Daphnia pulex: one gene and its partners. The protein of the gene in region 1 interacts with the protein of each later gene in a biochemical or structural test. Links are inferred from orthologs where the notes say so. Each region holds a gene or a part of one and is shown on either strand. Other genes may lie near its edges. The genes, in order: polyubiquitin, cullin-3-A-like, DNA repair protein REV1-like, RING finger and CHY zinc finger domain-containing protein 1-like, E3 ubiquitin-protein ligase CHIP-like, mitogen-activated protein kinase kinase kinase 7-like and protein DDI1 homolog 2-like.

Region 1 (4,144 bases):
GATTATATATTTGCGTTGCCGAGTTTTTGCCGAATACTCCATGATGTGCATCAGTACACGTTGGAAAAAATGTAATCAGGGTACATATTGTAGAGCTAATAAATTGTCATCATTATAGTAAGCAAACAAGGAAAATCCCTCCAATAATGTTACCTTCTTTGTCTTGGATTTTAGCCTTGACGTTCTCAATCGTGTCGGAAGGTTCAACTTCAAGGGTGATGGTCTTTCCAGTGAGAGTCTTGACGAAGATCTGCATACCTCCTCTCAAACGCAAGACCAAGTGAAGGGTAGACTCCTTCTGGATGTTGTAATCTGACAAGGTACGACCATCTTCCAGCTGTTTACCGGCAAAGATGAGACGCTGCTGATCGGGTGGGATACCTGAGTAGAAGAATGGATTAGATTTTTTACGCCATAGAAAGTTGTTTAAGTTCTAGAATTTATATCAGTACACGTTGGAAAATAGGTAATCAGGGTACATATTAAAGAGCTAATAAAGTGTCATCATAATCGATGGAATAAAAAATAAAGACTGCCCCAAATTATTACCTTCTTTGTCTTGAATTTTGGCCTTAACGTTCTCAATTGTATCCGATGGCTCCACTTCAAGGGTGATGGTCTTTCCTGTAAGAGTCTTCACGAAAATCTGCATACCTCCTCTCAAACGCAAGACCAAGTGAAGGGTAGACTCCTTCTGGATGTTGTAATCTGACAAGGTACGTCCATCTTCCAACTGCTTACCAGCGAAGATCAGACGTTGCTGGTCTGGGGGAATACCTACAGAAAAAGCAATAACATTGAAATTTCTACCTAAACATTCTGCCATTTACCACGATACCACATCAGATTTAATTGTAATCATGTTGTTGATATTAGCGTATATAAAATTATCATCATTGCAGAACAACCGAACTTTCAAAAACTAACGTACCTTCTTTGTCTTGAATTTTAGCCTTGACATTTTCAATTGTGTCAGAAGGCTCAACTTCAAGAGTGATGGTCTTGCCAGTCAAAGTCTTGACGAAAATCTGCATACCACCACGGAGACGAAGAACCAAGTGAAGAGTCGACTCCTTTTGGATGTTGTAATCAGACAAAGTACGGCCATCTTCGAGCTGCTTTCCAGCGAAAATTAGACGTTGCTGATCGGGGGGAATACCTGTAGACAATTCAAATCGTTAATATTATCTAGTAGATTAATGCTACCAAAATCATTTAACATTTAAATTTCAGATTATTTAGTAATCAGGGTCCATATTTAGGTGTCCTAAGAGTGTCATCAGCAACTACAATAAATTTCTCTTCTTATTTTTTTCCATTACCTTCTTTGTCTTGAATCTTGGCTTTAACGTTCTCGATAGTGTCAGAAGGTTCAACTTCGAGAGTGATGGTCTTTCCAGTAAGAGTTTTAACGAAAATCTGCATGCCTCCGCGTAAACGTAACACCAAATGTAATGTTGACTCCTTCTGAATGTTGTAGTCGGACAGAGTACGACCATCCTCCAATTGTTTGCCGGCGAAGATGAGACGTTGCTGATCGGGTGGGATGCCTGAACAAAGAAACATTTTGTAATTTCAATCAGACAACTATGGAAATTAAAATGTATTGAATACTTCAGGTTATTGCGATATAATTGTAATCATGAAGAAATTTAGACACTCTAAATGTCATTGTAATCCTAATACTCATCAGGTTAATTTAGTAACAGTAGGCAAAGGTTTGATAGTTACCTTCTTTATCCTGGATCTTTGCTTTGACATTCTCGATGGTATCAGAAGGTTCAACTTCCAGAGTAATGGTCTTTCCAGTTAGTGTTTTGACAAAGATTTGCATTCCTCCTCTCAGACGGAGGACCAAGTGCAGGGTAGATTCCTTCTGGATGTTATAATCAGACAGGGTACGACCATCTTCCAGCTGCTTGCCAGCAAAGATCAAACGCTGCTGATCTGGTGGAATGCCCTCCTTATCTTGAATCTTGGCCTTAACATTCTCGATAGTATCAGAAGGCTCAACCTCAAGGGTGATGGTCTTGCCAGTCAATGTCTTGACAAAGATCTGCATCTTTTTCTGAAGAAACGAAAATTAAACTTACTTTAGTATCATATACAAAACCAGTTTATCAGAAGTTTCATCATAACCAATCGTCATCATTACGTCACGTCGAACAAAGGAAAGTTACGCCCATGCATAAATTTTATTACTAGCCAATTATTTTTAAAGAAGTTGCAATCAAAACTAATGTAATACAAAATGTTTCTAGTAAATTTCAATAACTGTCTCATCTTACACCATGAAATATTTTCCAACCAGTTGTTACTAAGAGAAAAGAGATGAAACGAGGAAAGAAAATGGCGGACACAATCGAACAAAGGGACAACTTGCCACGGCGTAAATTTTTCGTTTCCCCCAAAAAATCTTAGTTAATTTAACTAGTTACACACAAGAACAATGGATATCTATTCAGGACAAAGAAATCAAAGGTTTAACTTACTAAATTTGATCAATCAGATGATAAAGTTGAATTAAAATATGTGTTCGACGAAGCAACTGCTAAGACGTTCTGCTCGAGTTGGGTGCTGGACGCGAATTGATTTTTAAAATGGCTGACGTCGACTTATATAGACGCGACAGAAGCGCCTGGGGAGGTTCGTACCAAGTCCCCTGCGGCTTTCCCTAGCTTTTTCTAGAAGGATTATTTCGTATTTTCGTTTGTCGTTAGATAACGTAACGATGAAACGTCACCTTCTCAAACGTGACTACAACGACAGAGAAACAATATGTGACGTAGAATATTCCGTGATTATGAAATTTGAGCTAATTCTGGAAGTTTCCACATTTTTATCTAAGTGACGTTAATTTTGTACGGATTTGCCTCAGCCTTGAAATAATCGCGGATATCCTTTATTCCTTTATTTCTCATACTTTCTATTTCTTTTCCACCAAACTTTTTGGGTCCAATATTTTCATTTCAAGTAGGTTGCGAACCTTTACGAGATAATATTTACACGTGGCAGAATTTTGAAAGTAGAAACACGTATGAGGTTGCTGGCAAAACTTGTATACAAATAGAAAGTGACGAAGAAAAAAACAACTAATAAGGAGAAATTTCTTAATTAGACCGAACAAGATAAAAACCGTTATGTATTTACGCTTCCATGACTCTGAATAAAACTATAATTCATTGCAAATAAATTCCAATTCAGCGTCGTTTTACATAGGTCTTTATTCAACCTTGAGTTTAAGGGGATTATAATGTGATGATGTTCGCAAAAATGCGCAGCGGAAATGAGTGCTGGTGTCGACGTGTCCCACGTGTTTAATTTGAAGGACTTTGGGCAAGGCTTCTTTCTGCGTGTATAGGACTAATCTGCCTCAGGTTTGTTGGACTTTTCCTGTTGGTGCTTCCTTTGATGACGCAGTAAATCAATGCCGGTCAGCTCCACAGTGGTGCGACAATCAGGACAGAAATAACCCGTTTTCGACTCGGAAGCTTCTGCTGGTTCACCCTGACCTAAATAATAACCCAACAAAACGGAAAATTGTAAACTGGATAGAGGGCAGCAAACAGATTGTTAAAAAACATTTCATACCTCCTTCCATCAACTCTTTTGTCTTCTGGCACTGGACCTGGTGCCTCAATCGCCCTAGACCCGTCAGGTAGAAATTGAGTTCGCATATAGGACAAGCCCATGGTGTGCTGAGATAATCTTGGGTGAAATCGGGTTCTTCCAAACTAGAAAATCGGAAATTTTCTTATAATAATTTTTGAGTTGTTATTTACAATGATAAAATTTCATACCATCCGTAAACAAGAAAGTCGGCCATTTGCAGCCCACCTTTCCTTGGATGGGCGACTGCTTGGAATTCTGGCCAGAACGGGTTAATCTCATTTGGCATTTCTTCATTTGGAGTTTCAGATTCTAGAGCATGGCCCCGGTAAATAACCTTCAAATCAGCTGCTAAAAGTCGTTTAATGGTGTACAAAATTTGAGTTTGCGTGAAGGCAATCAGGTCGTAGTGCAAATCTCTCTGCATTCGTTTCATTTTCTGTTCCAGTTTCTGGACGTCTTTCTCCTTTAGTGGACGATTAGGATCCAGTCGCAGCATAAGGAGGTCGTTCCAGCGGTAACGCAACTGGCACGC
Region 2 (4,214 bases), on another chromosome or scaffold:
TTGGGACTTTTGACAAGAACGCGTTGAGTCGGTTTGCCCATCGCAAGCGATTGCAATGCACGATCCAGATCTTTTTTCGGAACGTCAGTTTCATTCATGATATCCTATAAACAGCATCAAATATGATGAATAAGAAATCATTAAGTTCTACGTGCTCTTACTTCGTAAGTTAGCCTATCTCGGGTGTTAAACAGCATAAGAATACACATCTGATAGGTTGAAACGGAGATTATGTGTTTTCGCGGTCCATTAGCTGATGACGAGGGTGTTGACGAGCTGGGGCCATCACTTCATGGAATCAATCGAAACATTCGATAAGATATGCTCAGTATATAGAGACAACATATAAATGTTCTTACGTTTTTTCTTTTGTCTCAGACTCCTCTCGTCTAGGTCCATAAAAGATTGCGCTCAGATCAGCCGACCCTAGAGCGGGTTGTAGCGTCAACTGTCGCCCACTGTGCTTTGCTAAATAAAATCGGCGAAAGACCTCAAAAGCGTTGCGTGGTGCCAATGGTAGTGTACAAGTAGCTGACGATTGTGTTGGCCAGAATCCAGTTGTTAGTACGCGAACACTCAAGTCCACTCCGTAAAGGGAGGTCTAATCAATAATCGATGGTTGGAAGGCCGTTTTATAATTGCATTTTTTTACTGGATATTTCTTACCCCAGAAGTTTGAATGTGATTTTTGAAGTCTTCCATGAGCATGTTGGAGATAGACATATCCTTGAACATGCCCTCTAATTTCGAGGTAAATTGACACCCACATTCAGTCTAACAAAGTAATTAAAATGTTAGTACGAGCTCAATAAATTGGAAATGAATAAATTACCTTCAGCTTAGAAATCATGTTCTTCTCGCTATCATCGCTAACAGATTTGTTCAGCAGCAGGCGCTTGGCCAAATGTTGTTTATAATAACGCTCGAAAATATCCTTTTCCTGGAGAAAACGGAACAAAACCATGGTTTTGTCGAGCACCAGTTCTATGTCCTGCTCTGTCATTCCTTTAACGCCCTTCTTGAGCTTGTCATCGATAAAGAGTGATAGATATTCGGGAGATTTCAAATTCAAATTAAGAAAATATTCAAAATCTGAAGAGATCATTTTCTTAAAGATTGGATCGTTTACGAAGGATTTTCCCAGAAATGTATCATAGCGATCCTTAAGATCTAATAGACTCTATAGTGTCATTAGAAATCAAAATGAAAGAAATCATTATTACAGAGAGAAAAAAAGGTAAATTTTAATAAAAATACCTGGACAAAATTCAATGCATTGGCACCGGATTCGTCGACATTAACCAGTGCTTTGCCTTCTTCTCGTAAATGCGCGCTGACACAACTAGCCATGGTTCGCAAACCATCCGCTACACGACCCAACAACTTGTACATACAGTGTAAGTCGTCAGTTTTCTGGCATTTTAACATGTGTACTACACCAGAATTTTCCATCTAGTGTGAAAACAAGAATTATTTTTCTGTATAGCATTTTTTAAAACACACTAATCTAAGTTTTACACACCTCAACAATCGTTTTCATGTGTTTCTGTATAAGTTCCTCTTCAACTACTGCAACAATACGCTGCTCGGTCGACTCATCCAAATAATGTTTGGCTCTTTCCGATTCTTCATTAATGCGCGCCTCGACTTTCTTTATGTAAACTGAAGCTGAATTCTCCCCTAAAAACCGCTGACTCTCAGACTGTGAAAGCAAAGTAAAAAAATAATTAAATAAATTGTAGAAAAATTAACAACCAAGTTTTTGTACCCTGTAGAATTCTGCAGATTGAGAAAGAAAAGGTCTTTCAAAATCCTCTTCATAGACAGCTCGACTGTCTATACCCAGCACCATGAGCATTTGACAAGCTGCTCTAACAGAAAGCTTATCTGCAACTTCTCCTTTACGCTCTCTGACAACCATTTCCAAAAGAATATGCCTTAGGTGGTCACGAATGCCTCCATAACGAACAACCTTATAGAAAGTTCAATTAAAATCAAATCCAACAATAAACTATTGAATTAGGCACTTACTTGATCACGAAAAATAATCAATCCAAGATTGTAAACATTATCAACATTATTTTGTTGAACATAAACTCTGTCCATGTACATGAGGATGTCACGAATCATAACCATAGATGTTTGATGATCACTCCATGCTTGATTTAGAATGTGAAGGAAATTGTTGTTCAAGGAAGAAAGCACATCTTGACGAACCTATGTGAAAGTGATCAGGCAAAATCTTTAGTAAAATTGAAAATTTTTTGAGCAAGAAAGATATTACTTTAGATTCTAAATGATGAGTAACAACTTCTCTAAGGCCATTGTACAATCTCTCTCCATGTTTGTGTAGAACCATTGTGTATGCATTTCGGTAAAGTTCTTCAAAACTAAGACCAGAGTTATTCTTCTTCTGAATTTCTTGAATGGCATTCTTCAGTAAACTCCAAATATTTTCCACATACCTCTCGTCCATCGTCATCTTTATTGAGAAAAACAAGAAAACAATAACAAAGATATTCTAATGCCAGAATGAAGTGTTATAATAAACTTTACAGGGAATGCACGAATTCGCATTTTTCCTTCTTTCTTTGAACCGCCGCCGAGACCACCTTTCATCATCGTGAAACTCACTCAAATTTAAATAACGAAACGAAAAAAATACAAGTATCGGCCAAATATTGATAGTTCCGAAACCTTTAAAACGTTTCCATCAAACTAGTTGGCCCCCCTTGTAAGCAAAAAAAACAGGGCAACCTAAAGGCTAACCTCTCTTTCCTTCTCTTCCTCAGAAAACTCAACGTTGTATTTTGCCATCTAGCGGCTAAATTGAAACACATCCATCTGAAGGACAATGAAAAATGGAAATCACCTCCACGCATTTTTTATTCTTTTTAAAATACGCATCGACATTGGCCACTCGCAAGAAAAAGACTTTATTAAATATCATTGATAAAAAAATTATTCGTTTGTTTCATTTCCGTTCAAAAAATGCTCATAATAATAGCTAGGGTTAAGGGTTGGCAGAAAATTGTGTTGAATATTTAAAAAAAAGGCACTAAAAGTAAAAAGTCACATTCACTGGAGAACTCGTAATGAATTATGCGCTTTGAGTCAGACAGTAGCATGCTCCTTGCTAATTTTACTAATATAAATGTATTTATGCATATCTGTGCCTGCCACAGCGCCGTGCGCATTGTCGTATTCTTAGGGAAATCTTAGCTCTTATCTCTTATTAAAAAAGAAAGGACTTAGGAAGGACTTACATAATTCGTTGTAATCTCGGATTCAAATTCTCTCAGCTTCGTTTCATTGAAACCCAATATCGCAAATAAATTAAGAAGGATTTATGCTTAGCCACCACGACAACGTCCAAAGACTTATTTATATTCTGAATAAACTATTATATAAGGAAAGCTATAATCAGGAGCTTTGTTTAACTTTAGCCAGTTTACTGTTGTTTTAAAACCAAGAATATCCATAGACTAGAGGTTTTTATTTACTAAAATGGAATGAAGAATGGAGGATGGGGGAAAAAGTGTTAGATTGTCATTCATGTTCTTATACAAAGCACTTGTGTAGGTAAACATCCGATCGCTTCCAGTAGTTTCCACTACTTTTTAAAGGAATCATCATATCTACAAAGGCTAAAGACTCAAACAAGATGTAACAATTAACACCACACCACACAGCACACATTATGAATCCAAGCTTAGTTGGGGGCTAGCCATATTCAGATGGTTATCAATCATCTGAAAAAGTTCAGGGGGTTGAGGAACTCTACCAGTTTCCATTTTAGACCAAAGTGGAACATCTGTAACAAAAATAATGATAAGTAGGTAAGTTAATAGGGAAGTAATGAATTCAATGAAATCTCACCATTTAATGTGATTTCAAATGCTCCAGTTGAAATTAATTGGCCCTCAACAGCATTGCATAGAAAGAAAGTCATCAAGCACGCATAAAATTTGTTCTGCTGAGTCCACTCCCAAACTGAGGGAGTTTGCACACCTAAATGCTCAAAAATATTGGTTCCCGACACCACTACAAGGATGAGCAGTATTTTCAAAATTCCCTGAAACAAGCAATTATATCATGATAAAGAAGGGAGTTTGTTAACTGTATGTTTAAAACAGACATACCAAAATAGATGCAATCTTTTGGTTTAAATAGGGTGGAGGATGGTTCTCTCCTTCGATTGCCAAAGATGGGTA
Region 3 (3,952 bases), on another chromosome or scaffold:
GTTGTTTCAAAAGGATTTGAACTTCTTTTTCGACGATTTTGGTGTCGCGAGTGGCAGAACACAATGTTGTGGATCGAGAAATGCTATCACATACTCCGTGACCCATAAATTTCGCTGTTTCTACAGGGGCATCTTTGGCGCGGATTTTGAGCTTCAAAGTCAACAGTTTTCCTCTCACCTAAAGAGACATTTAACAAAGTTAAAATTGCTTTCGCTGTTAAAAAAATGTTTAAATTAATTACGTGAATTTCTTCCATTCGTTTGGACACTTCAATGGACAGTTCTTGAACGAATTTGTGCATTTCCTGATCATTTGCGAAACGAATTCCATAATTTATATCTGCCGAAACAGATTTTCGAACGTGGTCCGTCTATGTGGACCACGCAATATTAACAATTTTGAAATGGAAAGTTAACCTGAGACTGAGATAATACCTTTAGAGCGCGTTTATCTTCTCCCCGGCACATATGATATAATGTTTGTCCTTGCTTTTGACCAAACTCTTGTTGGAGCTTTCCCAAGCTTACCTGATTTTCAGAAACACAATTACATATTTGTTTAATGAAATAGAAGCTATGTACACATACTTGCTGCATTTCAACACAAGTGCGAACGCCCATGCCATGAAGTCGATGAGCCATGGACCTTCCGACACCCGGCAGATCTTCAATTTTGTGGTCCTTCATAAATTCATTCATGTCTTTCTTGTTGATATAAAACAGTCCGTTCGGTTTGGCTTTTTTGGTTGCAAGCCTAGCCATCAGCATATTCGGGCCCATTCCGACAGAGGCGTTACATTGTGTCTTATTAAAGATGACTTCTTTCAAATGAGTAGCAAACTCGGCTGGCGTGAGTCCACTTTGGCGCAAAACGGAGGTAATGTCTGCGTACAACTCATCACAGCTGACGGCTTCCAAGTCCAAAGTGTACGCGGCAACAGTATTGTACAGCGAGGTGGACACCTTAAACACGCCCACAAACGGAAAAATGAATTAAAGATTTTAAATAATTGATTGTAAATGTATTACCTCCTTGTATCCTTCAAAATCGTACGGAATGGCAACCAGATTAGGACATAATTTCAAGGCACCTCCCATGAACATTCCGTTATAAATTCCAGCTGCGCGAGCTTCGTAGCTACACGAAGCGATTTCGGACATGGAACAAGTTTCATCCAAATCCTGAAGTCGTGGAAAAACATCTGAAAGCGTAGCCACCGTATCAACAGCATTGCTGTTATTTTCTGAAAATTTCGATTTTTTGATCCAATGTTCTTTATAGCAGTCGAATTCATATTCTCGATTGCTGCCTTCGCGTCTTGGAAGCGGTTTAGCGTCAGCTCTTGCATGGGTCACAACAACCGGTTTACCCACCAACGATGGATAGTTGCGCAGTCCAACCGAGACAAAGAAGCAATCCATGTCAATGTGCATGAAAACAGTTTCTTCACACTTGTAGTTTCCTAGGCAACCAGTCAAGTTCTTCCAGTTTTCAATACTTTCCATACCTAAATTTTTAAATATTACATGTAATTGCATTAATAAAATGCTGCTATCAAAATTGTACCTGGAAAAACACCATCATTTTTCTCTCGAAGCTCAGTCACATGTCTTTTGAATAACGCTCCCATTGTGGAAATGTGGTGAAGCCTTGAGCGTTTGTAAAATTCAGATAAAAAATCGTCTTCTCCTGCGCGTTTCATTTCTCTTGAATGTCTAGTAATATCACCAGGTGGAACAGGTTCAGAGGAATGTGCTTCATCAATTTTTCTTTCTATTGCTGTTTGATTGTCATCATTTTTCTTCTGTATTGAAGCAATGTCCAACTTTTGTTGCCCTTTGTCTAAAGTTAGCCCAGTGTAAAGCAAATAGGGCTTCACATCCAATAACATATTGGCTTTCAGACTTTCAACAATCCATTCTGGCTTAACAAATTTTTCGTCGCCCTTGAGTTTCTTGATTTTAGCACCACACAAGTTGGACGCAATTATATGAGTAGTCGTTTTTGAATTATAGTAATGGTGGTAAACTCCTCCATTGGCCAGCATGATGCGCTTCAGTTCTTCTGCAGTTGGACTGGTATATCCATTGACAAAAATTGCAACATTTGAAAATACATTGCTTAGTTTATCATCTTCTTGTACTTCATTGAATTGTTCATTCAAATACTGATTTTCTAGTTTAGAAATTTTTGCTGCCATATAACCCCCCTGTAAATAATGATTCCAAATATGAATAACATAATTAGTAGTGTCAGAAGTCGAATAAGTCGTCTCACCCACTCTGCAAATCCATTATCGTCCCTATTTTTCCTTTTACCCCTTCCAGCCATCGTTTAATAAAAAAGAAAATCTCAACACTTGCAAGAAAATTTTCCACTACATTTGAGTTTGCTGTGCACGTTTGTTTACATAAATTGTTTCAAAAAATATCACTAGATGGCAGAAGAAATTGCGCATTGCCAGATATTGTAAATCGCGTGTTCGGAAAAGATATTTTGAAATTTTAGTTTTTAAAAAATTAAATAAAACTACTGGATCAGGACTGTTGTTATTCTTTTTGAAAGTGTGGAAAGACACAAAAAAAGATATGCCAATTACTAAAGAAGATTTGAATGTTATCAGGAAAACAAATCTCAAAATGTAGGAAACAAAGGAAGAGCATGGGAAGAGGAACGCCCAAAGTATTTCCTGTTTGAACAATTATAAAACTTCCCAAATGTATAGCAGATGATGATGGCCGGAGATAATTACATGTATCCTCTTTTTCATTTGATGGTTTGCCAGGGGTATTATCTTCATTCGTATTTGTGTGTTAATCAGAAGAAGACGATAAACTGCCAGTTTTGTTTCCCAGAAATGGAACAACGTTATTGTGTCTCTAGGTACTTATCCTTGGCTGGAATTATAATAATGTTTGTGATCACTATAATTTGTTATCATCAGACATCGATCACTCGGGAAAGAGTAATAGTGCGCATCCACCCTAATGATGTGTTATCCGAGTCCCATCAGACGAAGAACATTCTATTGTGGAACGGTTACGATCGAATCGAAATGAAAGTCTTTCTTAGAAGTTTGCCCAACAATAACTCGTGTCCGTACAGGAATTGTCGAGTCACAACTGATCGTCGATCAAACTTACTGGGCAAATTTGATGCCATTATTTTCAATATGGCTGTGCTTCATCAACTGGAAAAGTCTGACAAGCTGCCACCAGCCGACACACGGGAGAGTCATCAATATTACATCTTTTTCAGCCAAGAATCACCTTTCTATCACAAGGAAAACGTCCAAAAGGATTACATCGGATATTTCAACTGGACCATGAGTTATCTGCCCGAATCAAACATTCCTTATCCGTATGGCCGGATAGAACGGGCAGCGGTTGATTTAAAATCCAAGTCTTATCTAATAAGGAAAAAGACAAAACTGGTCGCCTGGTTTGTTTCGCATTGCAACACAACTCAAAGTCGGCGAGAAAATTACGTCAGAGAATTGCAGAAGCACATCCCTATCGACATCTTTGGTCTTTGCGGTCCGTTGAAATGCAAATGGAACTCTGATACGGGGATTTCACATCCGGAATGTTACGACATGCTGGAAAAGGAATACAAGTTTTATCTGTCGTTTGAGAATTCACTGTGCAGCCATTACGTCACGGAGAAATTCTATTCGATATTGAAGCTTGACGTGGTGCCAGTTGTCATGGGTAGGGCCAATTACAGCGACATTGCTCCGCCGTATTCATTTATCGACGCCCTGAGTTATTCACCCAAACAACTGGCCGATTACTTGCTGTTGCTCGATGGCAACCAAACACTTTACGAGAGGTACTTGAAATGGAAAACCAGTTACATTATCCGCAGTGGATATGAAGAGATGGGCGGCCAGGCCTTGTGTTCTCTTTGTGCACAACTCAATCTGTCGGATGACCGGAAGGAAATAATGCC
Region 4 (4,033 bases), on another chromosome or scaffold:
GAAAGAATGTAAAGCCTCTTGATTATGACGACGAACAACCAGCAAACCCAACTGAGAATGATGCTTTGGAACCAGCAAATTGTTCGAAGGATGCTAACCCTACTGCTCCAAATTCAAATATTCCACTCGACAGTTTGCTGAATTCTCCCCTTGGACAAATTGGTTTAGAACAAGGTGGGTTAACCGTCGTTGAAGTTCCTGGAACTCCTAACCAGGCTCCATCTTTTCTAGTCCCTCCAGCTCTTGCAGAAGCCAATCCCGCGTTTGCTCAAGCTGAACCCGGTAGTTTAGTGTTGGTGGCAGAACCCAATCCCGGAGATCCTAATAATCAATTGGTACATGTATACCGTATAGCCGAACCGTTTGAACCGGTCTCCTAATAAGATCCCCTACGCATTTTGCCCAATCCTTCACTGTTAATTTTTTTTTTGTGTGTGCGTGTGTATGTTGTTGCCATCCAGAATTAAATAACGATCTAATTACTGCTTAAGGCCAGTGAATAAGGTAACAACGTATATTTATACAGAATTGTTATTTGAAAATGTTCAGAAGGTACATTCCACATAGAATTGAAGAGAAGTGCTTAATCAATTGTAATAATATGACATGTAAAATTACAAGAAACTCACAAGCTGCACAGAAGAATCTTCATAATTTCGGATATGAACTTTTCTGGCAGTGTCCATTTTCAAACTACTCGAGGAGTCATTTCTAAATGTTACCCATTGTTTTTGTCTGATGTTTTTTTTTACTCACTACGGTGCATTACAATATGACGGCAATTTAGCCACTGCAACGAGGTAAGGGCAACAAAACAGGTATCAAACATCAGCAGGATGGCTGACGGGGTACGAGTAACTTGAACGATAAGAAAAAAATTCACAAAACCTTTCGATCCAATTTCACGAACAGGCTCCAGATGCCTACCGCCGAATAAGGTGGAAGATTCACGGATGAAAATTTAAAAGCCTTTAAAATACAAACTCGACCATTTAGTAGATGGCCAATAAAATTATTGCATGTCAACAGAATAAAACCGCCGTCCAAGTAAATGACAAACAACATCCTATTCCCTTGATAATCATGGCCATTTATTCCGAGTTAGGAGATTGTTCTCTGACTGCTTAAAAAAAAAGAGAAAAAGTTGATTTGTGGTACGCAGTTCCTCTAGATTAATAAAATTATAATTACCAGGTCTATTAACAGGACCACCGCTTCTGCACGTATTGTACGATCCACATGGTGCATTTTGGCACTTCGCTCCAAGGGGATGCATTGGAACTTCAGAAAACTGCAAAAAAATTGTTAATTATAATAACATTTTAAAAACTCTTTAGTGCCGAGAAATGACTAACCTGATGGCAGTCGTTACATAAAATCGTGACAAAAAAATTTTGATATTCCACTGGCATTGGGGTTGAGGCAATTTCATCGTCTAAAATGCGCCAGTACTAGAATGGAAACACAATTGGTAACGTTATAATTCGTTTTATAAATTTAAATTTTAGTACCGATTCCATCGGCATCATTGAACGTTGACAAACTGGGCAGGCATAGTGACCACGATGAATAAATGAATTGAAACATGTTCGGTGAATCAGATGACCACATGATGGGATGTGTGAAGGAATTCTTGATGTATGAATATCCTCCAAACAAATTGGGCAATTTGTTCGGCTCATCTTTTCAACGCACTGTAACAGAGCAAAAATAACTAATTGAATGAACTAAAAACCAAAATAATTTATGTATAAATTAGAATCCCACAAAAATGCTTACTCTATGCTGATTTTCAAGTTTTTTTGGTAAGCACATATCACATGTTTGGCAGTGGAAAAACTTGTCCCTTCCTCCGACTCTACATATTCCTGAAAAAGTAAGATATAGGAGTTGTCACCAAAGATTAAATATAATTGGTTTTAAAATGTAATAATAATTACCACATCCTTCACAGTGATACTGCTTTTTATCTTCATCATCAATCAACTTGCACTTTCCACAAAAATACTGCAAAACAAAATCAAGGTTTCTTTATTTTGAAAAAAAAAAGAAAAGAAAAAAGTCTGATACTTTACCTGTCCAAAGAGGATACCACAATTGGAACAGTTTTGTTGAACTGGTTGTTTTGTTTCACACAATGAACACATAATTTCATCCACATTTTTTCGGTTAAGGGTGTGTTCCTCCTTCTCATCATGACAAAAACGGCAAGTATAAACTTTGTCACAGCATGGTGTCTACAAAACAAAATTATTGTTTAGTAAAATAATAAATAATTAAGTATTTAACTTCTCAATACAACTTTAAACAGGATTACTATAAAACCGCATTATCTTCACGAGGAGATATCATGGTCATTTTTCAGACATTGTGCCCACAGTTATTTCCCGACCAACTTGAGTTACAACATTACTTGGTTAAGAACAAAGTGTCGAACTACTTACCACTAATTTGCATTTTCGTTTATAATGTTCGCAACCGTATTCGACATTCTCCTCAGCCATTTTATCTCCTCCACCTATTCCAACGAGTCAGTATCTGGCAGTGTGTGTACACAGTGTAAAAGAAAACACGAGTTTCGGCCAGTTAGTGTACAGCGTGTAGGTTTGGGCTTAGCCTAGCGGCATGAACATGAACTATGTTGGGTCGACTTCTTTCCGAAAATTCCTAACTTCCCACGTTTGTCTTGTTTGTGCAGCAATTTATTTAAAAACTAATTTCCCAATGGAATCCAGAGTAACCAGCAAGTTAATTTTCATCCAATTTTCTCATCTCTAATCTTTAATTGGTTAATCACGAACTTAAATTTGTTGTGACGAGATGTCGCTAGCTCCCTTCCTTGTCCTTTCTAAAAGCGGTTCTTCAAAATCAAAACACTCGAATGTTGCCATACTGTTTTATACAGTCTATCGGAGTGCATGTTTTGAAATATTAATGGACTTAAGGCCGGGGACCGGGGTAAGGTAGGAGAAAAGGAGGAAAGGAGAAAATCGAAGAAATTTTTTTTTACGTTCAAATTGAGAAAAATATGCAAATGACCCTACCTATTGAAAGGGCAGCAAGGTCCTTGAAAAACTTAGTTGTTCTCGTGCGGCCCACGAGGTCGGATGCTCAACAATTTGGCAGTAGAATTTGAAAGTGTGTATAGCGCGACTGTGAACTCTGACTGAATAATTATTGCCATAATCATTTCCTGTGATTGTGAATTGTGAATCATCGATCTCGTAAGCAGTTGAAAAGAACATTGCCGAACAATTGGGGACAAAACACCATAATCGACCAAACCGCCGACCCTCAACATGATAACATCAAATCCCACGTGTGACCATTACGAAGGTAGGAAAAAACACTTAAACGACTTTTTTTGCGAGGTTGTGCATACTCTGGTAATTTAATTTTCTATGAAATGTACGAAAGATTGTAAGCCAATGTGACCTGTTGCACATAAATAGCTGCGACAATTGAAGATTTTTTACTTATTCACGAAAACTTTTTTTAATGTCGACCTTGTCATCCCCTTTTCCTTCTCTCGCATGGAGATTATAGTAGCATTGCAAATTTTTAAGATTTTGTTGGGTAAATTTGTTTAGAAGGCCTTCAATTTCAATTCATGTGCGTTTTTTTATTCGACGAGAAAGATAAGTGACCCACGTGTTACAGACCGTTGGCTGTAGGTTATCAGATGAGGAGCGCAGCGTCATTATCGATCAATTTATACTCTCATTTTCTTTCTTTGGAAGACATTTTTATTTGAACCCGCAACTTTCAAAGAATTGGAACACGAGTCTTTTTATTGATAGAACGTTCGAAATATCCACTCAATCAAACCAAATACAATTACTGACAAAATCTGACTCCCAAGTCCCAACCCCGTTAGTCTTTTGATTTTTTCAAATTTCCGAATATAATGGCATTCTTGAATTTCTTGGGGTTTCGGATGCCGTACGCTTTGAGGCGATCGTCAGTTATGTCAAAACCACGAATGGTGGCCGATTTCTTATTAGCTGTTGTTTCAGTTGCGTTTTTGTTTTTC
Region 5 (3,439 bases), on another chromosome or scaffold:
GCCCTTGTATGCACACTGCAAGATACACAACAGACTTCTCTCTAGAGTGCTGATAAGATAATAACTGTAGTTGACGACGTGGCAAACACAATTTACCCATGGGACGTTTATTATAATTTAAGTGAATATCGGTCCAGTCCCGTGCTGTACCAGGATCGATAGTACCGTCCGTTCAAGTCGACCCCCCTGATTAATGACCAACTTAACCAACTCTGATACAATTGTCCTTGGCCACATCCACAACGAACCACGCCAAGCTCAATTAAGTGCTTAATGAAAGGAAACGTACCAATAGAGTTCGGCTGCAAATCATCAATTGCCTTTGGCTAAAGTAATAAAATCAATCACCCACAAACAATTGTCAGAGGAGACGATAATTTAGTCTAAAGAATATAACCTATTGAAAGATTGGAGCAATCCTACAGGTGTAGAATCTGCTCAAGGCGAACTCTGATCCCAATAAAATCAAATTTAATAGGAGGTTCATAATCAGGTATATATAAAATTTCCAGCATCGTCTATTGAAGTACAACAGCAATGTGCAATCAATAGCGAAAGACTGTATAGCAACATTTACTTCCTGATTATCATCCAACCCGATAGGAAACATCACAACTGGGGCTCGGCGATTCAAATCATAATATATATCGATTTCATTTAATACAATGCGGCGGAGTTTTTAAGAGAATCAAAATCAATGAATGATCCTTAAAAAAGTGGTTAGTAGTGCTGAGCCCATTCGTTTTCGGTCAGGTACGAGTCGACAACTTCTTTCATGGAGAAATTTGGAATCAATTGGTCTTTGGTCAATTTAACTCGCGTCACAGGGTCAAAATGTCCAACTCGCTGCGTAAAAACAAATCTTTTGGCTAATATCTACTAGGCAATTTTGAATTCACTTACCTGCAAATGTTCTTCGATGTCTTTCCTATCGTAGGTTATTCCTGAAGGAGTGATGACTGGATCTCTCATGATCTCGAAAGAGATTTTGCCACATAAATAGTCTGGAACTTCACGTTTCTAACCGACACAATTACAAAGACAATTTCTTAATGGTATAAGACGTACTGAAACACACAGTTGAATAATTTATAGTACCATTCTTCGGTCATCGACGGTTGCGAAAAGGTCATTCAATTCAGCCAGGTAGCGATCCTACCGATTTTAATCAAGTATTATTAGTCTACTAACGAAACAAGAAAAATACTCTAGATATGCTCACGGTGACGTTCTCTATGTTCGAAATTTCGTTTTCCACTGAACTGTATTCTTTGTCTTGACTAACCAAATCGATTTGTCGATCTCGATCCTCTCGAATGAGCCTATTTATATACATCTATCAAAATAAAATCCAAGTTTCAAATGAATCATAATTTTTTGCAAAGTGGAGTGGACAAAGAGAATGTTATTAACAGACTACCTGTAGTTCGATTTCTTGTGAAATTCTTTTCTCCTCCTGCTTTGTAAAATGATGCTTCTTTGCCAGTCTTAACTGACTGGTAATATCATCCCCAAAATTAAGTTTCTGATCCATCGAAAGATCACGGGCTAATAACAAGCAAATTTCAATAATCAGATTTTATGTGTTCAAAATTTATGTTAAGTTGGGGAAATGAGTACCCCTTTGAAGATGTTTTATTGCTTCCTCATAGCATTCTTTTTCCATTAAAGCTTGGCCCAGAAAGAAATGCCCTAAACATAATAGCAATATATAGCATTTTCAGAGTATTTTGAAGAATTTATACTAAAAACCTTTCACCCAAGTGTTGTCTAACTCTAAAGCACTTTTGCAATCTTGCACTACTGCATCCCAACGGCCAAGCTTGAGAGAGCAGAGAGCTCTATTTGTGTAGTATTGTGGAACAGAACCATTTTTAAGCTAAAGAAAACAATTACAATTACTTTGATTTACGCGTTGCAAAACAAAATAATTTATGCTTAATTTAATTAAAGAAATTTACAATGGCTTTGGAATAGCATGAAATTGCTTCATCGAAACGTCGAGCTAAAAACAACTTATTCCCCTGATCTTTGTGTTCTCTGTCACTCATTTTCTTCTCTAAAAAAGAAACTATTGGGTGCTGTAGGATCGAGAAAGAATTTAAAAAAGCAACACTATCACATAAAATAGATACGAAAACGTAATTGCACAATTCCAATTAACGTCAGATATTCTGACACTAAAGCGGAAAACAACAAAAACGCTTTTAATAAATAAACTATAAAATGCGGATGAAAGTAAAGTAAAGTGCGGATTGTGGAAAGACCTTTTCACCGCCATCTACCATCCAATAAAAATAGATTTTAATCTATGATGAATACGCGCAGTAGACGCCATAACGATTCCTATCTAATTTGAAAATTAGGATAAGAAAATTAATTAGAGCTGTTAAAGCAGAGAATTTATTGAAATAAGCAAAAGAAAAGGTTATTTGGAGTGATATACATCCGACCTGGATACACGCGCGTACAATTTTGACTGCGCACTGCTGGGCTTTAACCTAGAGAACAGTAGGCGATCCGCAGTGGTTATTCTGGTTATTTACTTATTTAATCGTGTGACCATCTCAGGAGTTAAAACTTCGAAGCGTGAGACCAACTGGTGGAGTCAACGTGGTTTTATGGATTACGATATTAATGATAGACGTCACTTTTTTATACCGTTTGGGTTCCGGCTGTATTGCTTGTTTGCAAATGTATTTTCTTTTACTCGGATTTTGGGTTTCCTGTTAGTGGTACAGTAAGTTTCCTTATCACACGGGCTTTCATTCCGATTTGAAATAGTAACTGGAAAAACAGTCAAAGGGAAATGACGGACGAGGTTACGTTCCGTTCCCACAAGATTTTACGATGGAGTTTTTTGTGCCTCAACTTGTTAATCCTGGTAAACATATTATTCTATTACAATGTAATTGTAGATTTGTTAAAATATTAACAGTTATATTATTCCAACGTGAGTTTACTAAAGAATTTAACTGAAGATGGTTGAAATTATCGAATTAAATGTTGCGTTTGGAAGACTGGGTTTGTTATTGCTTTTCATAAAATATGATACTGACATATTCTTTGAAATGCAGTTGAGCGGCATTGTATTAATCTCCTTGTCGGCGTCGTCACTTGTACAACGTCAAGAATTTGCAAAAGGATCAGACAAACAGAAATTTTTGGTGGTAAACGACAAATATATGGTTATGAACATCGTGGTTGCAATTGCCGTCAGCGGTCTACTCATATTTCTTAGCCTATTCGGGATGTGTGGTGCCTTTGGCGAGAAAAAATGCCTGATATCTTGCGTAAGCTCGTGTTTGTATAAAAAAAAAAAAACAAAAAAAGATTTTAGAGTAATTTTCTTTCTCCTTTGACTAAATGGAATATTTCGCTACGATGAATGATTGCATCGCACTGCTCGCCTTCAGTACCTGGTTTTCGTATTACTAAA
Region 6 (3,943 bases), on another chromosome or scaffold:
CCAGCGTGTTGACTGAAGGACCCTTTCCAACGAGACCTTGGGTTCCCTCTCTCTTTCTCCCGCACACGACGAGAGAGAAGGAGAAGAGCGCAGCGACTGTAGAAAAAAAAGGCCAGGACGGAGGGGGTCCGATAGCTAATAGCAAATGTGTGCGTTAAAAATATCCCGCGTGCGCATCCTGTCCGTGTTCGTGTGAATCATCACCGCGAGCCTTCACCAGCGTTCTAAACAAATACTTTGATCGGGCAAGCGTGATCGAATTTTCTCGGGAAAATAAATCGAATGCTGATTGACCAACATTTTAACACATAAACAAAAGTCTGCGGCCGAAATCCGCATTGGAACAACAACCGACTACGGTTTCTGCACGGGAAGAATTTTTTCGATAGTTGCGCAACATGACCAAGTTACCCGCGCATCGCATTCCGCCTCTATACCAACTCTTATCTATTTCCTCTCTCTCTCTCTCTATTTAGTTCGTTCCATTTCTTTTCCTATTTGTTTCTTTTCTTTTTCTTCGTTCCTGGGTTAATGTGTCAACGCTCCGGCCTGTTCCAACTACTGGTCGGGTGATGCACACAGTGCTGACGCACGCATTAAGTATGCAAACGACTGCGTACTAGGAACTGAGTCACATTTTTACACGGCACATTGACCCAACAAGTACCACTGTACCTGTCACGATTGCATGACATGTAATTTTTGACCAGGATAGATTCAAACATTTACTCACCAATATGACGTTGACCAGGCAGATTTGAAATGCAAGGCATCGATTGCTGTGGAGTGACACCAGTCCATAATTGGGAAGGATTCCCGTGTGAAGAGGATCTGCGGTGGCCCATGACGCTCACATTTGCGGATTCTTCTACTCTTCTAGCTTCTGCTCCGCTCCATCCGGAAGAATAGGGTTGAAGAACTGGAAACGACGGTACTGGAGACGTAGGGACGCATATGTCAACGTGAGGAAATTCCGCTGATCTTCTCTTGAACGGATGATCGAATTGCTGAGGTCGACGGGGAGTTTCCAACGGCCCTAGTTGCCCTATACTTTCGTTGGCCGTATTAGTCATCTGTGGCTGATAAGGTGACTGCATTCTTCCTAGACCACCCTGTAAGAAATCCTCGCCCAATGGCGGTATGGCATAGCCTTCGGCTGACTCGTCGCTTTCTCCGCCAATGATTAGGTGCAGTGGCTCGCTAACAGTGCTAGTGCCTCCTATTATTCTAGGTGAAAGCAGCTTGAGGCTACTGGGCGTGACAAGCGAACGACCTGGCTGCAGCATGTTTTCCTTTTCGCTGAGCAGTTGGTTAAAAGCTGGCAGTAAGCTGTCTGTTTCTTCTCGATGGGCGGGAGTGACAGGACGAGCGGGTGAATGGTGGTACTTTGTTCTAGGAACAGGCAGTGATGTCAAAACTGCACTGGAACAAGAAGAGTTGCTCAAACTGGGGTCACTGCCACAACTTTCCAAGCTGGCTCCTGTTCAACATGTCCCGAATGTATATAAAAGGTAATAACAATTAATTCGCAAAATATTTTACCACCAGCTTCGATCAAATCCGATTGGTTAGGGTATTCGAGGGGTGGAATTTCGTCAGGGAAGAATTGAAACAAATGCGATATTTCTTTGACGACTTGCTCCATTGATGGTCTGTTGTTTGGATCTTTATTCCAACAACTTAAAAAAAGAAAGAAATGGATTGAAAAATTAGCATTCCACCAAAGTGGTTGATCATTACCTGGTCATTATGTTCTCTAACGGAACGGGGCAGCCTTTTATAAGAGGGGGACGCTTGCCTGTGTGAATGGCCCACATTATGGTAAACGCCGAGTCTAATATGTGACTAAACGGTTTTTGACGGGCTAGTAACTCCCATAAAATGATACTCCAACTAAACACATCACATTTTTCAGTGTAGTGGTTGCCTAGAAAAGAAGAAAATTGAGCCAATAATTTTGAAATTTGCAAATCTTCTTAAGTGTTACCTTCAAAAACTTCAGGTGCCATCCATGCAGCACTACCTTGCCCATTAGTCATTTGAGTTCTCATGTCACATGCAGTGCCAAAATCACAAATTTTCAAAACTCTACCCTCCATCATTAATAGGAGGTTTGGTGGCTTAAGATCTCTGTAAGCACCCCCACAATGAAATTAATTTAGTTACACACCAATGAAGTTAAATGTAAGAAAAAACACCTGTGAATGATGGCACAAGGCTTCATACCATGTAGGTAAGCTACTCCTCTTGCACACTGCAGAGCCCAGTTCATAGCGTGATGGAAGGTATAAGATATCTTGGAGCGGCAATGTAGAACTAGACTCAAGTAATGTAGTTAAAGTTCTAGTGTAAAAAACTGTAGGAATTTACCATCATATAATGAAGCTTCAGCCAATTCCATGAGAAGACAAACTGTTCTCTTTGTGGAAGCTCCATACAGCTTTACTATATTAGGATGTGATACTCTTGACAGTTGCCTTATCTCAATCATGAAGGTTTTTTGTTCAGCTGATGTGTTAATTTTTTTAACTGCCACAACTTTGGATCGCCAAACACCTCTGTATACCACCCCAAAAGTTCCTCGTCCGATTTCCTGCACGATACGCAGCCAATCTTAGTGTAAATAAAATCAGTACTTAATAATGGAATGTTACAAACCCGCAATTCTTCGACTTCACTTATATCTATTTCCAAGTCTTCTGGTATTGTTTTTAAGTCGCCAGAAAATGTTTCTGACGAATCCATGATTACAAATTATATTTACACAACTACAAATCCAAAAACAAGTTTTGTTAAACAAAATTTTTCGTATCAAACTTTTCGTCTGGTCCGATCTTCCTTCTTTACTGCCATCTAGCAACAAATTTTGTCACCACCACGAACCACCTAGCAGACGTCCCTGCTGGACTGTCACCAAGACAAAAGTTCACTCGTCTTTCAAAATCAACACAATGTTGGTTTAATGTGATTGTCATTGTACTTACTTCGTATGGGTAACTTAAATAAATATTTGCACGTTAAATTGCTTGTACAGCCTAATGAAAAGTCTTTGTAATAATCAATAATAACATGGCTAGTAGCCAAACGATTAGAGACTTTATTCTAATAAGCGAATTCTGTGAAGTCGAAGGGCCTCGTTGTGTTTTGACTATCCCAGCTGTTCTACCTCATCTGAATAACAATGAGAATTTCAATCTGGATGAATTTCTTCTTTACATAATGACAACAGATTATCAGAATTTTCCAGGGTATTTATTTTAAATTATTCAAAAATTCTTTGGGTTATTTCATACTATTTTAATCCCACAGGGAAAAGTTGGATGAAATATCTGATGTGCCTTGCATTCGGACCAACATCATTCAGAATTTCCATGCCATCCTTCATTACTTTACTTTGAAGGATTCTCAGGCAAGAGGAGGTGTGCGTCCTTCTTGCATAGCTTACATCACTCAAAATCAGACCAAGCTCTATCGTCTGAAAAATGAAATCCTCAATGTTCTCAACATGTCTGCCCAAATATTGAAAAATGCAAACATGAGGTGGATGGGGAGCTTAGGACAGGATGTTGGAGTACAGGTAGACAACAGTTACTGTACTTTGACCTCCTACAAGTATTATTTCTTTGATCCTTGACAGGAGAACAACACTATCACTAGTCTGCTTGACAAATGGAATCATCTAACTCAGCCAGAACCTGAATTAGGGGATCAAGAAAAGAAGCTTAAGCCATGGCATTTGCTCTGTCCCATAGGAATCTCAATTGTGATATCAGGTCTAATATTTGTGTATAAAATAACCTGTAGACCTCTGGAAGATCAGATCTTGGACCCAAAGGTGATTTGTTCAACTTATGATTTGTTTACCAACGTAAACCCCGATAATGTTGATTTTAAAGCTGTAATGTCTCAATTAAACAGTTTTATATTATGATCAGTTTGTATC
Region 7 (4,005 bases), on another chromosome or scaffold:
GGGTATTGAGGCTGTAGCCATTCACGGAAGCAAAGGTACTGCAAACTATCACAATTTTTAGTTCATGATTTAACTTATTAACATTTTTAGACCAGGAGGAGCGTTCTCGTGCTGTTGATGCCTTCAGACAAGGAATTAAGGATGTGTTAGTGGCCACCGATGTAGCCTCAAAAGGACTGGATTTTGTCAACATTCAACATGTCATAAATTATGACATGCCGGATGACATCGAAAATTACGGTACTAAAGAAATAATGATCATAAAAAAATCCACACTTTAAAATCTGGCTTACTTTCAGTGCATCGAATCGGACGTACTGGCCGATCAGGAAATAAGGGGCAAGCAACAACGTTTATTAACAAATCGAACGAAGAGTCCGTCTTACTTGACCTCAAACATTTGCTTATCGAAGCAAAGCAAGATGTCCCTCCCTTTTTGGCCACACTGCAATCAGAGACGGAAGTTTTCCAAGATCTCGGAGGTAATTTAATAATGTTTTCTTTAAATGAAAAATTTACAACGTTGATTTCAAAATTTACAGGGGACAAAGGTTGCAGTTACTGTGGCGGTCTTGGTCATCGTATTACGCAGTGTCCAAAGTTAGAAGCGGAAAGCAACAAACAAGTTTCTGCCGTTGGCCGTAAAGATTACTTGTCTTACTCTGCGGCAGACTACTAAATGTTTCTCAATAATACCACAATTTATAATTTTTTTGTACACGTGAATTGCAAAAGAACAATTTTAAAATTATTGTGAAAATCCCGATATGTTGTATCTTATCGAAAGAAAAAATTTGGAAATACATGACGACCAATAAATTAAAATTTTAAAGACTTAGCAAAAAGTGCAGCAGTAGCTTGAGTAACGTCGCCGTTAAATCGTCTCAACTCTTCAATCACCTGTAGATCATAGCAATGTAGATTCAACATACTAAAAAATACTAAACTCAAAATTACAGAACAGTAGGCCTACCTGTTCACGGACAAATCCCATAGATACCAAATCTTGAATTTGTTTTTCAGTGAATTTGTCGGCCTGAGGTTGAGTGCTGGGATCAGGTAATGCCGACTCTTGAAGGGCCTGTAAAATAAATTAGTTATACGATGATAAAAACATGTTTGAAGAATTATCTAATCTAAAATAACCTTGGCGAGTTCATGATCTTCCATTTCAACCGCAGAAGAAGATTCGGTTTCAGAACGTGGGCCAGATAATCGGGCACAGTCAGGAAGCTCATTTTCGCATAAAAACGGTGTTTCGGTTCCGGTAGTTCCGATGACCAAGAGGTTGCGTTTCAAATCAATCAAGCACTAAAGTTTGAAAGATTTTACGTTAAAGCTACAGCGTAGATTTTTCAACAACTTTAAAAAGCTAAAATTTACTTGATGGCGTTTAAGCATGTCTAATCCCAGCAGCATGTCCATCGGTTGTTCTTCCAAAATTGAAAACGAAGTGGGTAAAAAGTCATCTCCTATTTGGATCTTTCAAAATAAAAAAAATTAATTAGAGTCTAGTAAAACTCAAAGGCAAATAGCCAAAATTTATACCTGGACCATATGAATGCGTCCAACAATACGCTGAATTCCGACACCTTTAGCAATACCAGCCCAACGACTGTCAACTAAGCGATGGATATCGCATTTTAATGCGCAAGCTGAAGACATAATTGTAGTTTGAGCTCCTAAAAAGTATAAAACGGGGAAATCCCGCAAAAGTTAGTCACAAATCGATTAAAACAAAACAAACAAAAATGGTACCAGAGTCTATGAAAGCCTTGACGGGATGTCCATTTACTATGCAATTTATATAGAGCATAACAACGGTGCCAAATGATTCTGGGTGGTATTCGATAGCTGCTTCCATATTTGCTTCAATATTTTTCTGACGAATTTCATCGGCAATTAGTCGTTGAGCTTCGGCGTCAAAAGGATCAGCACGAGACATTAGGCTTCGAAGTCTCTCTCGTTCTGCTCTGGCAGCTTCTTGTTCACGTAAGACCGCAGTAAAACGAGCTATATGGATGACAAATAACTAGTTGAAGTGTGAAAATAGGAAAGAAATTTATATAATGATGAGACCTAAATCTCCTGATAGCAGTGCATCAGCAAGACGAGGGTTATTCTGCTTGAGCTGGGCAAGTTGGTCAGGATTAGCTAGAAACATGTCTCTTATGAAAACTGGGTCGTTTTCATTGCCCCGATTAGTGTTTCTATTTCCCCTGGAAGATGACGGCACCTGAATAGCACTGAAGTCCAAGTTCAGAGAAGGATCTGCAAGCATCAATACAACACATAAGTCCTGATTTTTTAATCTTTTATTAATCAAAGTTGCAACAATATTCTTAAAGTGAGTGTAGACCTTGGGGCTGATTGGTGGTAATTCTTTGCCTCTGTATGACAACAACATCCCCTTCTTTTAAACCGTGATTCTTCAAACTCTTTGATCCATCACTCATAACTTGTCCATTATAAACTAAACTTATTTCTGCTGCTGGAATACCAGACTCAACTTCACAAAATGCTTTAAAATTTTCCAATTCCAAGTCCTCAGACACATCCAAGTTGAATATGTCATCAGACAGTGTGGTAACTGTAATACGCATATTGTAATTCTAATCAACTTAAGAAATCACCAGTTTGAATTAAACAACAAAAGTTTGCAACAAAAAGGAAATCCTGTAATTAATAACGCAAACAAACAGAATGCAACTTAGTTCAATCACGTAGAGTAGAAAAATACGATTTAATCAAAAGCTGTGACTACACAACAATGTAATATGTATAATGGGGGAAATGCACCGCTGCCACATATTTCGGCTCAATTAAAAAATCGGCGGCAATTGCGAATTGCGATGCAGTTCGATGCAGTTTTTACTTGAGACATAGATAAAGAAGACAGTGGTCTTTATCTGTGCTTGAGAGTTTGAGAATTTGAGATCTCATGTCATTCTTCCTTAATTGTTTTAATTGCTAGGGTAGAGTAAAATCCTTAGATCGAAATTTGAAATGTAAGGTATTTTTAGTTAAACCTATTGCCGGAATTTACTCTACCGTATGAATGAATGTTAAATTTAGTTAGCCACAAATATTGTTAAGTGTGTAATATTTATGAAGTATCTAAAAATGATTTCAATTCCAATTAATCTTAATAAGATTAACAGATCAAAAATGTATCCATGAAATTTTTTAGACCAGGAAATCATCTCAAAGCGATGAAAAACAAGTTATTTACATGTAGACAATGTTTCACCTTTGAAACAGGCGATCACGTCATTCCAGTATAACGTTTAAACATTCCGATACGATAATGTCAATCTCCACTCAAATCATAAACCACATAACAATTCGATTGGAATCTATATGTGTAGTTTTGCCGCTTTTAATTTATCTTCTCCTCCATGTTGTCATAATAAAAAATGCCGAGTTATTGAATAACTAGTTCGTTTTATCTTTGCCGTTCAGATCTTTAGATTGCCACCGCGACTAACTATTGCATTGCTTATACAAATACAACTTGTTTTTTTCAGTCAATCGCTTTGAAGGGATTTTTTTTTTCATTATATAAAAGATAGAGAAAACTGGTTGAAATTTCTTTTTTATAATTATAAAATAAATAAACTCAATAGCAACGAAAATAGATTCTAGGGAAACTTAAAATGCAACTGTTACGGATTTCTTTCATCACTTAGATTTTAAGTTCAAAGGTGACCGTCGTTTGCGCCAGATCTTGAAAATAGTTAATGAGGTCAATACTGCACGATAAATAAAGTGAGAAAATACTGTCTACCTTATGTAGATTCATATTGAAAGATTTAATTAGCGAAAACTTGCTGATTTAGCAGTCTTCTGCAAGGGATCCGTATTCCGCAACTCAAATTCCTTTCTTTTTTTAAAATTTTCTCTTTTCTTAACTCGTGAATTTTTACTTGTTAAAAATTAAAAAATAACAGGTAAATTTACTTTGAAGGAAAAAAATAATAGGAAAAAAAATAAAAATTTTGTTGC

What was found.
Region 2: the proteins of polyubiquitin (region 1) and cullin-3-A-like form a complex in vitro, tested with the Homo sapiens proteins (2 studies listed by BioGRID, with this or other methods). The link is inferred for Daphnia pulex from reciprocal best matches to the Homo sapiens genes UBC and CUL3.
Region 3: the proteins of polyubiquitin (region 1) and DNA repair protein REV1-like form a complex in vitro, tested with the Homo sapiens proteins (2 studies listed by BioGRID). The link is inferred for Daphnia pulex from reciprocal best matches to the Homo sapiens genes UBC and REV1.
Region 4: the proteins of polyubiquitin (region 1) and RING finger and CHY zinc finger domain-containing protein 1-like form a complex in vitro, tested with the Homo sapiens proteins (2 studies listed by BioGRID, with this or other methods). The link is inferred for Daphnia pulex from reciprocal best matches to the Homo sapiens genes UBC and RCHY1.
Region 5: of the proteins of polyubiquitin (region 1) and E3 ubiquitin-protein ligase CHIP-like, one has a biochemical effect on the other in vitro, tested with the Homo sapiens proteins (2 studies listed by BioGRID). The link is inferred for Daphnia pulex from reciprocal best matches to the Homo sapiens genes UBC and STUB1.
Region 6: the proteins of polyubiquitin (region 1) and mitogen-activated protein kinase kinase kinase 7-like form a complex in vitro, tested with the Homo sapiens proteins (3 studies listed by BioGRID). The link is inferred for Daphnia pulex from reciprocal best matches to the Homo sapiens genes UBC and MAP3K7.
Region 7: the proteins of polyubiquitin (region 1) and protein DDI1 homolog 2-like form a complex in vitro, tested with the Homo sapiens proteins (3 studies listed by BioGRID). The link is inferred for Daphnia pulex from reciprocal best matches to the Homo sapiens genes UBC and DDI2.

What each region holds. Positions count from the first base shown.
Region 1 is NC_060024.1:13,920,027-13,924,170, reverse strand, and holds the start of polyubiquitin, read right to left. Parts: upstream 2,801-4,144; 5' UTR 2,493-2,800; intron 2,069-2,492; 5' UTR 2,063-2,068; coding exon 1,732-2,062; intron 1,551-1,731; coding exon 1,323-1,550; intron 1,160-1,322; coding exon 932-1,159; intron 778-931; coding exon 550-777; intron 382-549; coding exon 154-381; intron 1-153.
Region 2 is NC_060026.1:11,981,844-11,986,057, forward strand, and holds the start of cullin-3-A-like, read right to left. Parts: upstream 2,801-4,214; 5' UTR 2,623-2,800; coding exon 2,557-2,622; intron 2,483-2,556; coding exon 2,285-2,482; intron 2,218-2,284; coding exon 2,032-2,217; intron 1,973-2,031; coding exon 1,769-1,972; intron 1,703-1,768; coding exon 1,523-1,702; intron 1,453-1,522; coding exon 1,258-1,452; intron 1,181-1,257; coding exon 833-1,180; intron 775-832; coding exon 667-774; intron 602-666; coding exon 360-601; intron 289-359; coding exon 162-288; intron 105-161; coding exon 1-104. UniProt on the Homo sapiens protein: Core component of multiple cullin-RING-based BCR (BTB-CUL3-RBX1) E3 ubiquitin-protein ligase complexes which mediate the ubiquitination and subsequent proteasomal degradation of target proteins.
Region 3 is NC_060017.1:8,178,987-8,182,938, reverse strand, and holds the start of DNA repair protein REV1-like, read right to left. Parts: upstream 2,801-3,952; 5' UTR 2,333-2,800; coding exon 2,279-2,332; intron 2,211-2,278; coding exon 1,568-2,210; intron 1,509-1,567; coding exon 1,030-1,508; intron 964-1,029; coding exon 589-963; intron 529-588; coding exon 436-528; intron 372-435; coding exon 243-371; intron 179-242; coding exon 1-178. Other genes in the region: alpha-(1,3)-fucosyltransferase C-like, read left to right, coding at 2,859-3,952. UniProt on the Homo sapiens protein: Deoxycytidyl transferase involved in DNA repair. Transfers a dCMP residue from dCTP to the 3'-end of a DNA primer in a template-dependent reaction.
Region 4 is NC_060018.1:4,447,262-4,451,294, reverse strand, and holds RING finger and CHY zinc finger domain-containing protein 1-like, read right to left. Parts: upstream 2,607-4,033; 5' UTR 2,505-2,606; coding exon 2,445-2,504; intron 2,238-2,444; coding exon 2,076-2,237; intron 2,008-2,075; coding exon 1,941-2,007; intron 1,869-1,940; coding exon 1,780-1,868; intron 1,695-1,779; coding exon 1,512-1,694; intron 1,452-1,511; coding exon 1,356-1,451; intron 1,292-1,355; coding exon 1,192-1,291; intron 1,124-1,191; coding exon 1,092-1,123; 3' UTR 501-1,091; downstream 1-500. Other genes in the region: transcription factor TFIIIB component B'' homolog, read left to right, coding at 1-380; protein KRI1 homolog, read right to left, coding at 3,874-4,033. UniProt on the Homo sapiens protein: E3 ubiquitin-protein ligase that mediates ubiquitination of target proteins, including p53/TP53, TP73, HDAC1 and CDKN1B. Mediates ubiquitination and degradation of p53/TP53; preferentially acts on tetrameric p53/TP53.
Region 5 is NC_060019.1:9,014,910-9,018,348, forward strand, and holds E3 ubiquitin-protein ligase CHIP-like, read right to left. Parts: upstream 2,248-3,439; 5' UTR 2,052-2,247; coding exon 1,962-2,051; intron 1,880-1,961; coding exon 1,753-1,879; intron 1,693-1,752; coding exon 1,621-1,692; intron 1,549-1,620; coding exon 1,421-1,548; intron 1,337-1,420; coding exon 1,223-1,336; intron 1,156-1,222; coding exon 1,099-1,155; intron 1,021-1,098; coding exon 904-1,020; intron 847-903; coding exon 721-846; 3' UTR 501-720; downstream 1-500. Other genes in the region: CD82 antigen-like, read left to right, coding at 2,810-2,884, 3,078-3,293, 3,417-3,439. UniProt on the Homo sapiens protein: E3 ubiquitin-protein ligase which targets misfolded chaperone substrates towards proteasomal degradation.
Region 6 is NC_060025.1:3,027,594-3,031,536, reverse strand, and holds the start of mitogen-activated protein kinase kinase kinase 7-like, read right to left. Parts: upstream 2,801-3,943; 5' UTR 2,746-2,800; coding exon 2,659-2,745; intron 2,594-2,658; coding exon 2,371-2,593; intron 2,317-2,370; coding exon 2,199-2,316; intron 2,131-2,198; coding exon 1,988-2,130; intron 1,928-1,987; coding exon 1,741-1,927; intron 1,680-1,740; coding exon 1,543-1,679; intron 1,512-1,542; exon of another isoform or gene 1,481-1,511; coding exon 734-1,480; intron 1-733. Other genes in the region: guanine nucleotide exchange protein smcr8a-like, read left to right, coding at 3,070-3,248, 3,310-3,577, 3,638-3,931. UniProt on the Homo sapiens protein: Serine/threonine kinase which acts as an essential component of the MAP kinase signal transduction pathway. Plays an important role in the cascades of cellular responses evoked by changes in the environment.
Region 7 is NC_060018.1:3,461,810-3,465,814, forward strand, and holds the start of protein DDI1 homolog 2-like, read right to left. Parts: upstream 2,801-4,005; 5' UTR 2,604-2,800; coding exon 2,360-2,603; intron 2,272-2,359; coding exon 2,080-2,271; intron 2,014-2,079; coding exon 1,759-2,013; intron 1,683-1,758; coding exon 1,549-1,682; intron 1,483-1,548; coding exon 1,384-1,482; intron 1,312-1,383; coding exon 1,147-1,311; intron 1,082-1,146; coding exon 974-1,081; intron 901-973; coding exon 820-900; 3' UTR 680-819; coding exon of another isoform or gene 300-679; 3' UTR 241-299; coding exon of another isoform or gene 91-240; 3' UTR 36-90; coding exon of another isoform or gene 1-35. Other genes in the region: ATP-dependent RNA helicase abstrakt-like, read left to right, coding at 1-35, 91-240, 300-679. UniProt on the Homo sapiens protein: Aspartic protease that mediates the cleavage of NFE2L1/NRF1 at 'Leu-104', thereby promoting release of NFE2L1/NRF1 from the endoplasmic reticulum membrane.